Linked DNA regions of Schizosaccharomyces pombe. Each later gene encodes a partner of the first gene's protein in a complex. Each region holds a gene or a part of one and is shown on either strand. Other genes may lie near its edges. A codon is read from its position in the direction of its gene.

Region 1 (4,036 bases):
CGTAAATAGAACCGATACCCACATAATCGGCCCCATCAGCAGCTGCTTTTTCAATTTCCTCGATATTATTAGTGGACACTCCAATAATAGCATCATCGCCAAGAATTTTTCTGGCTAATGCACAATCCATGTCGTCTTGACCAATATGAACACCGTCAGCGCCAACAGCTAATGCCACGTCAATCCTATCATTAATTAGAAAAGGCACGTCGTACTTTTTGCAAATTTCAGAAAGTCGTTTAGCACGTTCTACAAAGCATTTAGTAGAGATGTCTTTTTCTCTGTGCTGAACAAGCGTGACACCTCCCAAAATTCCCTCTTCCACCTGACGTTCTATAGTAGAACCTGGGGCAATTAAACTAGAGCTAGTTACAAGGTATAAAGAATAGTCAATTTGACGTTTCATGTTTGGTATAAAAGTTCTTATATAGAAGTCAAGTAAGTAAACAAAATCCTAGAAATGCCAGATTATGTTGCGGACACCAAAAATTTGACAGTTCAATCTTTCTATGCTAAGAAAAATGAAAATTGAATATTATCCTAATTTAATCAAGAATTTGGCGAAAGTGTTACAAACTATGTTTGCAAATTTTGCTCCATCTTTTATACTGTGTTAGTCATGGTTCGGATGCGTGCTACGACAAGTTAGTGATAACTGATTTTAATCACTCTATTAAAATGTAGTTTGTCAAATGGAACAAATACTGCATGCTTTTGAAGAAAATATATTCGCATTACTTTGAACAGGTTTTAATGAAATGAGTTTATAAAGGAACAGATATATCTTATTAAAAAGGTGCAGAATAACGTTATATTTAATTATTAAAAAGAAAAAAAAATTCATTCATTGTAATAAATACCCGTTAAAGCTATATTATTGAATAAATATGGAACAGCTTAACGTTTGAAGGTCCTAGTCTAATTCTTCTATTGCAGAAGGTGCTGCCTTTTCTAAACTTTCAATTAAAGATTCTACAAGATGAATTGACTCGTCAACGTTTGGCTCTTTTGACCATTGAAAATCGCTAAGGGATGCAATCTGACTAGAAAGAAATTATTAGCAAGCTAAATAAAGCTCAATTAAAACAACCCAAATTCCTAATCAACCTCATACCTATTCATTTTAAGAGTCAATTGTGTGCAGCGCTCTTTTTCCTCATTTAATTTTGTATAAGCAGATTGCACAGCTTCAGAAAGCCGCTCATTGATTTCACTTATGTCCAGCGGTTTTGCACTATGTGATGTGTAAAATTCTTCTACATCGTGCAATGTAGAGGCATGACTGACCGTTTGCAGTTTCTCAACATTTGTTGCCAACATCCTATCTATTCTGCTTTTGCCGATAACTTGACTCTCGAGATGGATGTTAGCTCTCAATTTTGCTAATCGCTTTTGTCTTTGTTGTGTACAGTATTCGTATAAACGCTCAATCAGTGGGTCTTCTCTGTATCTCTGAGGAAACAGTTGCCGCCATTGTTCTAAGCTTATAATAGACTGCAACCGCCCTTGAGAAAGAAGATAATCATTAAGTATTTGTTCCTCCATATTCATGAGCAACCTTTGAGATATTAGTAAATTGAATAAATGAAACGCAGCATTTGATGAAAACTCATGTAGAAAAGCTAATTTTTCCTAAAGTATCCTTTTGACTAAAGCATTTTTTATAATGCGTATTGGGACGTATTTGCTGAACATAATGAAAGTTTATTTTTAATTTATCATTAAAAATCCTAAAACAGTAACTTACTGATAGCACTTTCTCCAAGCATTTTGCAGATGAATGAATTTGTTGCTTAGATAGTATCCTGTTACACCCACCGTTTGTTAATGGGTCTAGATAATTTTTAAAACAAAATAGCTAACTCCTTCAAAGTAGGATAAATTTGCTAAGTGTACTGTTTTGGCACACGTCCTCTTACTTCTAACTCACCACCATACCTACAACGTTGTTGGAATGGCCGTGTCATATAAGGTGAATGAACGTGTACTATGCTTTCACGGCCCGTTACTCTATGAGGCTAAAATTGTTGATACTGAAATGAAAGGTGATGTTACCACGTACCTGATTCATTATAAAGGATGGAAAAACAGTTGGGATGAATGGGTTGAACAAGATAGGATACTACAATGGACAGAAGAAAATTTAAAGACTCAGAAAGAGTTAAAAAATGCCGCTATCTCTACGAGACAAAAACCGACTTCTAAAAAGTCCGCATCCAGCACTTCGAAACATGACTCAACTGGAGTTAAAACATCAGGAAAGAGGTCTCGAGAATCGAGCACCGTAACGGTTGATGGCGATTCACATGAATTGCCTTCACGTATAAAAACCCAAAAATCAGAGTCTCCAATTCCTCAACAAGTGAAACGCGATGGAACAACCGATGCTAAAAACGAGGAAACTACTAAGCCCGAGAATAACGAGAAAGACGATTTTGAGGAAGAGCCACCGCTTCCAAAACACAAGATTAGTGTCCCGGACGTTCTAAAGCTATGGCTTGTTGATGACTGGGAAAACATTACCAAAAATCAACAGTTAATAGCTATACCGCGGAATCCCACCGTCCGGGCTGCTATAGCGGCCTTCCGAGAATCCAAGATTTCTCATTTGAACAATGAAATAGACGTTGATGTTTTTGAACAAGCGATGGCTGGTTTGGTTATATACTTTAATAAGTGCTTGGGCAATATGCTGCTGTATCGGTTTGAACGGCAGCAATATTTAGAAATTCGGCAGCAATATCCTGATACTGAAATGTGTGATTTATATGGCGTCGAACATTTAATTCGCTTGTTTGTAAGCCTTCCTGAATTGATTGACCGGACTAATATGGATTCACAATCCATCGAGTGTTTGTTGAATTACATTGAAGAATTCTTGAAGTATGTTTACTGCTTTTAAACTCCCCTACTATACTAACCATTTATTTAGGTATCTCGTTCTACATAAAGATGAATATTTTATTAAAGAATATCAAAACGCCCCTCCAAACTATAGATCTTTGGTTGGTGTATAAAATTATGATCGTTTGCATCTATCCCAAAGATAACTAAAACGGTAATCTAAAATATATACGTTTTCTTTTTGAGATATAATACACTATTATCTATAGAATGCAGTAGGACCAACATAAGGCATTCAGAGAATTCATGCAATTATTATGTTGTTCCTTAATATTCAGATATTAATCATTTTGCTCTTCAAAGAGACAATTTGCTTCTGCAAATTGCCAATTGGAGTATCAAATTCTAAAGATCCAGAAATTTGACTTCCAAACTGATAAAGTTCTGCATTTACGACACCTTTCATTGCCTGGATGCTCAGGTCTAACGAACTTTCTGCCGGGATACACTGCTGCTCCTGTTCAGTTATATTGGCAACTCTTCTCAATTTTTCTTTAATACAACTCCATTTTTCTATTGTTTTTAAAATTTTTTTATCGTCAACCCGATGTTGTAATGTATCAGTCCGCTTATTGAATCCATCCATAAAATTGTAATAAAGCTTTATGAGTGCCCGTCTAAGGGCCAATGTGTATAACCATTGAGGACGTATGTAATACTAGAATTTGGTGAGTTGGACGTAAATAAGAACCAGTAAATATAAAAACTAACCACAACTTGCTAAGAATGTGTACTTACTTTTGTAATAACGAAAGTCGAGAGACCACTGATAGAAAAAGTATATAATATGTAAATTAAGAAGGACAATAAGCTGGACGAAACTTGTATATTATCTGGAAAAGCTTTAACAGGCGGATTTTCTTTAGGAAGCAAAGGACTTTTGCTTTGAACAGCACTGTTCGAACTCATTTTTAGAATGATCGAAAATTTTGCACTAGTGAAAATATGGATATCAAACCAGTTGAAGAAGAAAATGATAAGCGTAAAAAAGATGGTTAAGCATATAGTGTTGCGGAATAAGTAGTTTGATTGTTCGAAATTAATACGAAGCAGTAAAAAGCAACTTTGCAAAATTAACAGAACAAATGAAATGAATAAGTTTGTTATATCTAACGGATTGTTATTAAAATGT
Region 2 (6,145 bases), 570 kb from region 1:
TACGTAAAAGTTCCATTAAAGATTTATGTTCACAAAGCTCCAAAATTAAGTAAATATTCGTCGAATCTTCAAAACAATCTATAAATCCTACGATGTTTGGATGACTCATGGATTGGTGCACCTTTATTTCTCCAAAGAGCTTCAGCTTTGTTTTATCATTTTGTAGTGACCTTTTAGCAATAACTTTAGCAGCGTAAATATTTCCATAATTATCTTTGACTCGAAAACATCTCGCAAAGCCGCCTTCACCAATGCAATCGTAGCGAGTGTAGAATATATTTTTTTTATTATTATGAAGATTAGTTGGCGGAGTAAAGCAAAGACGAGAGGCTTTGGACTTCTTCTTCGGGGTTATAGCAGTTTTGGGCTCTTTAATTGCAACACTCGCCATTTGGTATTTGTTTCTAACAAAACGCAGGTGGTAACTTTTGAGGGTAAACAAAGTGGTTGCTACGACAACCGCTTGTTTGTAAATAAAAATCTGTGCATTGTAATATTTTATGTAGTAATTACAGAAGTACGGCTTTAGAAAATTTAATACAAAGCTTATGTGCAAAAATTTCAGTAAATTCGTACTATACATAAATCCTTGAAATTATAAAATACCTAGAAAGATAAGTTATGTTAACAAAGTAATATAAAACTATTAAAGTCAAATTGTATTTAAGTAAATATGATCAATAGGTAGGTCGACTGCATTAAAATCATTATGGGATAAATAGTGCATTAATGTCAGCATCAAAATTCACCTCTGCCGTGTTGTCAGAAGTTCCCCTAACCGATTTTAATAACGATTCCCATCGATTTCTCCAACGCTGTTTTCTTTTATTCTGGCAATCAAGGAAGTCGGTATCTCTAAGGCGCAGGTAAGATGCATCTATGTAAGAATCTTCTGTGCGTGGTAAGTAGAGCAATTTAAACGAGTCTAAACATAATTTTGCTTGCAATCCGGAAACCAATTCTGCAGATCTTAATAACTTTGTTTGAAGGCGTGAAACCAATTGCTCAACTGTTCTTTCTTTCTCTATATTTCTGCAAAGAAAGGGACAACGATAATTTTTATAAGATATTTCTTCAGTAAGTTTTTGTATACGATAATTTTGAACATATTTTTTCCAAACTCGTCTCTGTGTATCCAAACTTTGATCCACAATAAGATTCGCTCGCTTCATTATTTTGATTCCAAATGATTTAAATTTGTTTATCCAACAAAATCGAAACAAAATTTCATCAGGATTCAAAAGCTTTTCAATTTCCAAGCGATAAAGAAAGTCATCATAATTCTTCTTAGGCGAAGCAGAACTATTTTGTTCGACTAAACTAGTAACGAATTTGTATTTTCCATCGGAAACGATGTGGTGGACTTGTTTAGCAGCAGACCAAACGAGTTTATCAATAGTATATATTTTATAGGCTTTATTGCCATAATAAAACCGCAGATAGTCCTCGAAGGCACTTTGATCAACTATCCCATATATTAATCGAAGAATCATCACATAAGTATTTTCGTAATGAGTTTTTTCATCAGGGACATCTGAAAGATCATTCCACCTATCGCGCCAAATCTTTTGTTTTTGAGATACTGGGTTTGGTATTATACGCTGTTGGATAATGGACACTTGATCCTCCAAACGCTGAAGCTCATAAAGCCTTTCGTATAATAAGTTAAAAAGTCTAAAAAATACGTACATAGAAGAATATCCAAACTGTTCTTTATCGACGTCGTCATGCATTTCATTCTCCGTATCACCAGCATGATCTTGATGTTCCAAAAGACTATCTGGATGACTTGGATATTTGAGACTGGCTTTAATGGCTGCAGCAGGTTGTGAAAGCTGTTTCTTAGAAACCGGCGTTACGTTTCCAGATTCATCACTTAAAGAGTTTTGAGAGTTAGATTGTGATTTGTTACCGGATTCTTCTTTTTTGCGAGCAGCTGCAGCTGAACGACTTTCGCGTTGACCATTGATTTTAGGTTGTTTTACAAATTCCGTCAACTGGGTTATAGAATTAGATCTTTTCCGACGTACAGGCTTGTTACCAACTATATTCGGGGCATTCACATCGTAATCAGGACCACGAAAAACTTGATCCAGGAATATCGAAAATTTATCCTTTTCAAGACCAAAATGTAAAGGCAATATATTCTTGAAAAAATGCTCAACTTTCTTTAAACCAGAGGGAGAGTTACATACAATGTATGTGCATACCATATAACAAGTATCAAAAAGTACTATTTCGTTGTCATATACAAAAGAAAATTCGAAAGCTGATCTACTTCGCAAAGGAAAATGGAGCTTCGCTTGCGATCGTAGAATGTCGGCTTCTGCTAAGAGAAACTTTGAAGATACATTCTTCTTATCTCTTGCCTTAAAATAAACGCATTGTGAATCTAAGCTCTTATCGTAATTTTTAAACTCAATACTTCGCCATCCAGGTTGAAGACTTCTTTTAACAGACTTCCACTCTTCGTTTTTTTCTTCTAATCTGCTGATTACCAATGGTAATGTGAGGCAAGGCATTCTTTCCAAGGCCTTAAACATTTCCTCTGCATGCTCACTGGTATAAACAAGCTTAATAGTTTTCTTGTATATACTTTTTGATGGTAAACCTAGCCCTTCCTCGAGAGTATATGTTTCTCTTTCCTCTTCCGGCAATTCATTTATACGGTTCTGAATTTTTTTAAGAGACTTGATTGTCCAGGAAGTAGCTTCAATATGCCGATCAAATTCATAACGTTCCTCTTCCAACTTTGTCATTGCCTCTTCATAAGGCGTTTTCCTCTGAACAATGAAACCGCTTTCTTCAGATGCCCAAGTTGGATGACTGACCCAGTCATCATTAAGTATACCCCATGCAAAATCATCTCTACCGCTGCAAGAAATATTGCGTTCTTCGACAGGAAGCAATCGGTAACTCGGGCCACATTCCGGGAAGTCTGAGCAAGCGGAATTGTATACAGATAAAAACTCTTCCGGACTCAAACTAGTAAGGCTTAAAAAGCTTCTCCAAAGTCCCGAATTCGATTTAAGAAACCCAAACCCACGACTCACCAGAATATTTCTATCAATTATCCCTTGAACGTACAAATTCAGGAGTTTTAAAAATTCGTGGTAAGTTTCTACATCGGTAAGTACATTTTTCACATTTTTGAAAAAGTCACTGCTCTCATTTGATAAATGTGAAAATGGTGAGAGGTTGTCCGGCCTTGATTGACTAAGCAAATCAGAAATATTACTCAACGTAAATTGGGAACTCTGAATTCCTCTTAATGGAAACGATCCTAGAGGAGGTTTACTCCCAAAAAAGATGGAGCTTGGTAAAAAGTTGTGAAACTCGTGGGCTAAAGATGGATGCTCCGCTAGCAAAGACGTTACAATAGTCTGAAGCTCAGAAAGCGAACACTCAGAGTTTTTAAACTTACGAAGACTATCCTGTAATTTAAAGAACTGTTCGGGATTGCTCAATAATGCTCGTCGAACTCGTGAAACAAATCCTATAGCTCTATGATAGGTACAAGGTAAGTCGTTGTAAGTAGCTACATAAGTAGACGGTGTAGAAACTGGACCAGATGGGGTGGTAAATTGCAATGTGAAGTTGGCACCGCTATTCGATAAAAGGTATTTATAAGACGAGGGCAAAAAGATGTTCAAATATTCTAAAAGATCTGGGTAATCTCTTAAGATTACAGATATTCTTTCAATAAACCCGGGAAAATCGACACTAATGTTCATGTTAATAAGTGAATAGTAATAAAAAAAGAGCTATCTCAAAGCAACTCAGTAAATAAGCCATATATACATTTCATTGTGTAAAGCCTTCACAACATCCATGAAAGCGCTATAAACATAAGGACGATGACACAGTCTTTGACCCAACTTTTGAACGAATGCCTTTATATCAAGCTCGGGGAGTGCGGTACCATTAGGGGAAAAATCATGGACTAATTGATTCTGCATCTCGGCCACTAACGTTGAGTTGTCTAACAACATTGGTTAAAATGAGTTATGTATTAAATTGATACGTACCATTTTTTAATATCGCTAGTGTTTGTTCCATGTATTTTGATCTTTAACCATCAAATGACTAGGAATACGATCTCGTTTATTTTGGAGGTGATGATTTGGGAAACGGCAAATGCAACTAAGCGCACAAACTCGTCAACGCATTACATGAACTGACGCTGATAGCCAAAGTTCAAATGATTTATCAAGACATGAACACAAATACCACATTGGATGGTGTTTTACACTTACAACGAATACTTTAGAAAAAATACTAACGAGAAGAATCAAACCCAATATAATTGTTAAAAAATATTCCTTTTAAATAATTAAACACTACATCTAAACATTATTTTCTAAGAATAATAGAGATTTAATAAAACCGAAACTATGCATCGTCTTCATCAAGAATAAGAAATCGAAAACTATCTACTTTCAAAGTTAAGTTGTCGACTACTTTACTTAAGTGCATTCGCAAAACAAACAACCAAGATGGTGAAATAAAGTTTTTAAATACGAACAGGAATGGCAGAAGAAATTACGCTTTAAAAATGAAACAAAGTAAACATTCAATATAAAATTTTACCTCAAGAATAAATCAAAAGATGTGACACAATAGATTAACCACGTTAAATTTATAATGTTCGCAAACTAAGACGAGGAACCTTGGTCACATAAAAGCGGATGATTGGCGAATTCTGGTTGAATGGTAACATCATATATACCAAAAGATTGAAGGACATTACGGATATCCGTAGTAAGCTTTGTATAAGACTCTCCCTTATCATCAGGAAGTGTAACGCAGACATGAACAGTGGCAATTAATTTAACGTCCGAAAGCTGCCAGATGTGGAGTTCATGAACAGATTCCACGCCGTCTAGATGATTAATTAGGTTGGAAACATCATCCAGTTTGATGCTTTGAGGAGCAACTTGTAATAAGATGAGAGCAGCGGATTTACAGAGAGGAATTGCGCTAAAAAGAATAATGAAAGTAAGAAGGATACTAATGCATGGGTCAAAGAGGAAACGCCAAGAATAGTCAGTATACTTGATGAATAAAGCAGCACTAATAACACCAATATTACCGAGAGCATCACCCAAGACATGAAGAAAGACACCATGCATATTCAAATTTCGTTTCTTCGTTTGTTTTGGTGCATCTTGTTCAATACTGCCATGGTTGTTGACTGGCTTTGAAGTACCAGCACCATTATGATTACCAGTGTAACTCAATAAAGGAGAAGATTCGGTAGCAGAGTCTGCGACTTGAGTGTGTGTATGGCTGACTTCTTGTTGACTGGTATTACAACGATGAACGATAGTCGAAGGTAAAACGGATTCAATATCATCTTCTTCAGGAAAATCGTAATTTTGAGCGGTATGGGTGTGAGGATGATCATGACCATGGTCATGAAATAAAAAGATACCAACGAAATTGCTTAGCAGACCTAAAGAACCAACAAAGAACATAAGGGTGGGATTGCTGACAGAAGGAGGCTCAATGAAGCGCTCTATGGCTTCCATAAAAATGAACATGCAAAGGGCAATGAGAAATACACCGTTCGACAAAGCACCTAAAATCTCTGCACGTTGCCAGCCATATGTGTATTTTGGTTCGTGAGATGTTGAATGTGCTAGACGAGTAGCCCAGAGAGCGACCAGTAAACTGACAATGTCATTTAACATATGAAATGAATCAGCAATTAGGGCAAGTGAATCGATCGCATAACCAGTAATAATTTCGATGAAGAAAAAAGTAACATCAATACCTAATAAAAGGATAATCCGAGTTTGTCTTGCGAGGTCGAACATAGTTTGAAAACGAAAAGTCACCAATTTCAAAAAAATGGTAAGGGTTGAATTTCACAGGGAGAAAAAGGAATAAGGTAAATTTAGAATGAAAGGTGGCTTTTTAAAAATGAATTTAAATAAAAGAGGCGCAAACTTGCTATATTTAACAAAAAAAAAAGCCAAAATAAGACGAAGATGCGAGAGGGTTTAAGAAAATCTAAAGAATCAAATATCTGTAATTTTGCTTTCCTTGTTTTTACAGAATAAATTAATTAAACCAATAAACCTTCAAAAAACTGCCAAAACTGCCGTTTTTGATAGTAAATTAAAAAGGAGGCTTTTGAGAA
Region 3 (4,685 bases), 1.0 Mb from region 1:
TGGACCGCTTTGAAACCCAAAATACTATTTCCATCGCAAAAAAGAAGGGTTAAGGGTCGATTTACTTTCCCTTTCAGTCGAAGAAGTAATTTAGCCCAATCTAAACTTCCGGTTGATTTGGTGCCTATTAGACTTGAAATAGATGCTGATCGCTACAAATTAAGAGACTCCTTTACGTGGAATTTGTACGACAAGTGTATTTCATTAGATCAATTTGCTGAACAGATCTGCATTGATTATGATATTCCACTGCATAATGTACATATTGTTCAAAATATTTCAAAGAGTATTCAAGCTCAAATAAATGACTATGAGCCGCGTAAGGCTCAGTCTAATTTAAGTTTTGTTTCAGATGTTAGTTCGTCTACCTCAGAGACTGTTTATGCGCACGAACCGTCAGATTCGTTGGCTAAAGCTTCCAAGCAACAAATTCCAACTGTACAAAACGATTTGAGGATATTGATCAAGCTTGATATTACCATTGGTCGGCTGAATCTTATTGACCAATTTGAATGGAATTTGTTTGCTCCTGAAAGCAGCGCTGAGGAATTTGCTACTGTGATGTGCTTAGATCTAGGATTGTCAGGAGAATTTTGTACAGCTGTAGCTCACTCAATTCGTGAGCAGTGCCAAATGTACATAAAATATTTAAGCCTTATAGGATATTTGTTTGACGGAAGTGAAATCGAAGACGAGGAAGTTCGCTCTTACATTTTACCTCCTCTTAAAAACACACTACGGTTCTCTGACATGGAATCCTCCTCCTTTGCCCCAATGATTTACGAGCTAAACGATGCTGAAATGGAACGGCAGGATAGAGGTTATGATAGGGAAGCACGTCGTATGCGGCGTAGACAAGGAAGGGCAAAACACGGGATTATGTTACCAGATCTTCGGGACATTCCTAAAATACATCGAAGTCTCTTCCCCAGTTCATCGGTCCCCTCGGATGATGACTTTATGCATGCTTTAAGTTTATCTACAAATTCTGATGGCGAGACACTTAACGAAATTAATACTAATAATCCTGAAAGAGAACATTTAATTGTGCGTCTAAAAGTTGACTCTCAGAAACTAAAAATAATCGTTGAACAATCACAAACCTTAACCCTCAATAACTTCCAACAACGGAAACTCACTCCCTTGCCCAATTCCATGAGTTTTGACTCACTAAACGAATTTGAAAGTGAAAGGAACACACCTTCTACATATGGGCAAAATATTTCGCCATTACCACAATTTTCGTCTCCTAGCCTTTCTTCTGACGCGTTTCTTACTAACAGCAATTCTTCTGAATCCGCTTTGGTTCATATGCAAAAGTTAAATTTACCTGATTTTACCCCTTCCTGGGTTAAACGATGTGTTATAGAGACATTTGCAAAATTTCCGAATGATCGATTTAATGTTATCGTAAAACCTGCTTTAAATCCTGCTGAAAGGATGACTGTGAGAATATGTTGTCATGATTGCATTAATGAGTATTTTACAGCCGGCCCAGGATTCACGTTTGGCAATTTCCATATCCACTTGTTGTCAAGCTCGCATCAACAAAAAAAGGAGGTGAGAATGAATACGGTTTTGGATAGAAATACTTAATACAATTTTGGAAGAATCTTTATCAAAGACCATAATCAAGATTTGACTCACGTTATGGATAGCTCGACGGACCAGTTTCTTTCAGTTGATAGCTTCTGTTACAAATGAGGCACTCTATCCTCAATACGATTAATTTATTAAATTTGAGGAAATACACTGTATATTATTCAAAGGCTTATTAATCCTTAATGTTCAGTCATGTGGCTAAATTTAAAGTATGTACGGGTAACCGATGAATCAAATTACTTTACAGCCTTCATTTCAGTTTTTGGAAATTATAATATTTTTGATATTTAAACAAAATAACTAACAAATCTTTCTTTTCGGTTTATAGCAGTCTTTCCTTGTTTCTCGTTAAATTCATCTTTGCTAGCATAAATCTTCATTGTATGTTCACACTACACGACGTCCACGTTTTCATCAATGGATGCAAAACCATGGAATCATACATCAGAAGCCTTTCAAGCTTCTATTTTGGAAGATCTTAAAATTATTCAAAAAGCCGGTGCTGAAAGGAATGCAAAGAGTTCGCATGGGTCAATAAATTCCAGGAGCGCTTCACCGAATAAAGCGACCTCGAGAAGAAATAGGGCCCAAAACGGCAACTCTAATGGTAGAGCCTCAGTTGATAACTCTGACGATGGAAGCAAGGATGATTTAGATTATTCTCCTTCTGTTAAGAGAAAGCATGTGAATGGTGAAGGTGCAGAAAAAGGTGATCATGATACATCTAACAACGGACCTAGTATTACTAAGTTAAGAAGAAAAGTTAGGAGAACCTATGATACTAAGGATGGATTTGTGGCTTGGAATACATTGGATGATGACTTTCGTCCTATAGTACCCGATCAAGAGAGATCACGAAAAATCAACCCCCAGAAAGGAAATAATAATAATCTCCTTAAAGAGAATAAGTCTCTAAAAACAACGGCTAAAGACTTATCTGATATCTCTAGTTCATCGATGAAGAAAGCGAATAACTCTTCCAAACCTCTTTTTTCTGGGAAGCTAACTTTCAAGGCTAACATTCCTGTTCCTACCTCTGAGGTCGTAACGGAGAATAATGTTACACGAAATGTTACCGTGTATTCCAACCAAAAACATTTAGGTAATGAATCAGAGAATTTTAACGACATGGAGGGCCGGGCCGAAGACATTAGTAGCAATGAATTACTTCCTACCCCTGAAGAATATCCATACAGATATAACAATGATTACTGCTCCGCATGTCATGGTCCAGGCAATTTTTTGTGTTGTGAAACATGCCCGAATAGTTTTCATTTTACTTGTATAGATCCGCCTATCGAAGAAAAAAATTTACCAGATGACGCTTGGTATTGCAATGAATGTAAACACCATAGCTTGTACAATGAATTGGATGAGCAAGAAGAATTGGAAAGTAATGTCAAAGAAGAAGGAACGATGGTTGATGTGTGGATGCAACTTTGTACATATATTGATTCTCACAATCCTATTCAGTTTCATCTTCCTCATTCAATTAGCAGCTTTTTTAGAGGTGTCGGAAGTGGAGTGATGGGTGAATATATCGAGACGGATGTTTTGAAGCATCTTAAATCTAGCCGAAGAAGCAATGGAGAAGAACGTGATCCTTTGCTTTTGAAGAGTAAAAGTGGTACTCCCATTTTATGTTTTCGTTGTCATAAATCGGCTCTGGTCTCTCAGAGTATACTAGCTTGCGATTATTGTAACTCCTACTGGCATCCCGATTGTTTAAATCCTCCACTCGCAACTTTGCCTTCGAATCTCCGGAAGTGGAAATGTCCTAACCATAGCGATCATGTCACGCCTCGGTATAGGTTACCTGAAAAAGCAAAGGTTATTCGTGTCGGTTTACCTCGTGGTTTCAAAAATAAAGGAAATATAGTTATTGATGAAAATGAGGATGAACCATCTGTGCAAACAATACAACTACAGGGAAAAATACGTGTGGTACCTAGTAAACCGTTTAAGTTGAACTTTTTAGAACAAATACGTGATAACGTTATTAATTTACGTAAAATGGTTGAGCAGGATGAACAACTATGTATTGAAACCTTTTCCAAATTTGACTTTTATGCAACCCGTGATTGTGAATTGCCTTTGCGAATCCTTTGCGATGTTGCCAATGACAACTTAGAAAATGATGATTATGTTTTGGCTTTAAGGGATCTTTTGAGAATTTCTAAATGGGATCCTAATCAACCCGTTCCTGCACCTTTTGATTTGGCTAACTTATTAAGCTATTGAAAGATAGCATAGCACCTCGATTCTTTCAAGTGCGGTGTCTTCGACGTTGAAATGTCTTAATATTTATGCCTATCTAACCATGAATGATACGATTTCATATATGAATGGTTTTATTTTTTTTCTTTATTTTTGGTATTGCGAAGGTGCTTCCAATTAGTGAATTGTGATCGAAGTGTGGTATTCAAAAAGTCTCCTTGGGAAAGGTGCAGGCATTTTTCCTTAATTGTAAATTTAATTAAGTTGTATATGCAATTATGCTGTGCAACAAATACTTTAACTTATAGTTGAACTGCAAAATTAAGAAAAGTTACGTTACAAAATGGAGTACAGAAATAAGCCAAATTTTATCACGTTTAATTATTCTTATTTGAATGCTTTAACGTGTAGTATTTTTGTATATTGAATTATTAGTTTCACCGTAGAACTGTTGATACAACTAAAGAATTCTTTGGGATAAGTTGAATTACAAGCAAATGATTGCGATAAACTGGATAGAATGCAAAGCGATTTGCAATAGTACTTAAACAATAGCACAGAAATAATAAAGAAACTGTATGATAGTGTAATTTCAAAAGTAGTTTGCTTACGTATTATTAACATTTTTTTTATTCCTTTTAATGTGTCATTATTAGCACATAAGGAAAAGTTGCATTGCTCTAAAATAAAATTACCTTAAAACATGTCGGTTTCATCATCATGTCTATCATTGCTTTGTAACTTAGTAGATGCTTTATTGTGCCTTTAGCTTGTTTTTATTTTCCATATTAGTTTGTTCTAAGAATTGGGTAACCTCGAAATTTATTACAAGGTCAATTAATAGGCAATACGTTTTTTGTTCCCTT

Evidence for each region.
Region 2: the proteins of alp13 (region 1) and pst2 are in contact, whole or in part, in a cryo-EM structure (PDB 8IFG), measured with the Schizosaccharomyces pombe proteins. Residues at the interface, in NP_593394.1 of Schizosaccharomyces pombe: Asn192 (codon at 2,528), Gln193 (codon at 2,531), Gln325 (codon at 2,976), Asn326 (codon at 2,979), Ala327 (codon at 2,982), Pro328 (codon at 2,985), Pro329 (codon at 2,988), Arg332 (codon at 2,997); in NP_593646.1 of Schizosaccharomyces pombe: Arg342 (codon at 2,912), Leu343 (codon at 2,909), Pro345 (codon at 2,903), Glu347 (codon at 2,897), Glu348 (codon at 2,894), Val369 (codon at 2,831), Trp374 (codon at 2,816).
Region 3: the proteins of alp13 (region 1) and cph2 are in contact, whole or in part, in a cryo-EM structure (PDB 8I02), measured with the Schizosaccharomyces pombe proteins. Residues at the interface, in NP_593394.1 of Schizosaccharomyces pombe: Asp176 (codon at 2,480), Lys179 (codon at 2,489), Leu180 (codon at 2,492), Leu182 (codon at 2,498), Val183 (codon at 2,501), Asp184 (codon at 2,504), Trp186 (codon at 2,510), Glu187 (codon at 2,513), Thr190 (codon at 2,522), Lys191 (codon at 2,525), Val227 (codon at 2,633), Gln230 (codon at 2,642), Gly234 (codon at 2,654), Leu235 (codon at 2,657), Ile237 (codon at 2,663), Tyr238 (codon at 2,666), Lys241 (codon at 2,675), Cys242 (codon at 2,678), Asn245 (codon at 2,687), Met246 (codon at 2,690), Leu247 (codon at 2,693), Leu248 (codon at 2,696), Tyr249 (codon at 2,699), Arg250 (codon at 2,702), Arg253 (codon at 2,711), Gln254 (codon at 2,714), Tyr256 (codon at 2,720), Leu257 (codon at 2,723), Arg260 (codon at 2,732), Gln261 (codon at 2,735); in NP_592978.1 of Schizosaccharomyces pombe: Cys269 (codon at 2,824), His286 (codon at 2,875), Thr288 (codon at 2,881), Cys289 (codon at 2,884), Ile290 (codon at 2,887), Asp291 (codon at 2,890), Pro292 (codon at 2,893), Pro293 (codon at 2,896), Ile294 (codon at 2,899), Glu295 (codon at 2,902), Thr333 (codon at 3,016), Met334 (codon at 3,019), Val335 (codon at 3,022), Trp338 (codon at 3,031), Met339 (codon at 3,034), Leu341 (codon at 3,040), Cys342 (codon at 3,043), Ile345 (codon at 3,052), Asp346 (codon at 3,055), Pro350 (codon at 3,067), Ile351 (codon at 3,070), Gln352 (codon at 3,073), Phe353 (codon at 3,076), His354 (codon at 3,079), Leu355 (codon at 3,082), Pro356 (codon at 3,085), Ser358 (codon at 3,091), Ile359 (codon at 3,094), Ser360 (codon at 3,097), Phe362 (codon at 3,103).

Annotation. Positions count from the first base shown.
Region 1 is NC_003424.3:1,586,470-1,590,505, reverse strand, and holds alp13 (Clr6 histone deacetylase complex, chromodomain subunit Alp13/Eaf3), read left to right. Parts: upstream 1-1,928; 5' UTR 1,929-1,954; coding exon 1,955-2,883; intron 2,884-2,932; coding exon 2,933-3,017; 3' UTR 3,018-3,178; downstream 3,179-4,036. Other genes in the region: thi4 (bifunctional thiamine-phosphate dipyrophosphorylase/hydroxyethylthiazole kinase), read right to left, coding at 1-406; centromere localized protein Cnl2, read right to left, coding at 914-1,043, 1,115-1,551; SPOM_SPAC23H4.13C (uncharacterized protein), read right to left, coding at 3,179-3,562, 3,643-3,813; SPOM_SPAC23H4.21 (uncharacterized protein), read left to right, coding at 4,033-4,036.
Region 2 is NC_003424.3:2,158,486-2,164,630, reverse strand, and holds pst2 (Clr6 histone deacetylase complex subunit Pst2), read right to left. Parts: upstream 4,146-6,145; 5' UTR 4,060-4,145; coding exon 4,029-4,059; exon of another isoform or gene 3,983-4,028; coding exon 3,802-3,982; exon of another isoform or gene 3,724-3,801; coding exon 708-3,723; 3' UTR 553-707; downstream 1-552. Other genes in the region: Polo kinase Plo1, read right to left, coding at 1-391; ER zinc importer, CDF family, Zhf1, read right to left, coding at 4,656-5,819. UniProt on the Schizosaccharomyces pombe protein: Has a role in chromatin assembly and chromosome segregation. Involved in the deacetylation of histones.
Region 3 is NC_003424.3:543,575-548,259, reverse strand, and holds cph2 (Clr6 histone deacetylase-associated PHD protein-2 Cph2), read left to right. Parts: upstream 1-2,000; 5' UTR 2,001-2,019; coding exon 2,020-3,843; 3' UTR 3,844-4,133; downstream 4,134-4,685. Other genes in the region: SWI/SNF complex subunit Snf5, read left to right, coding at 1-1,596.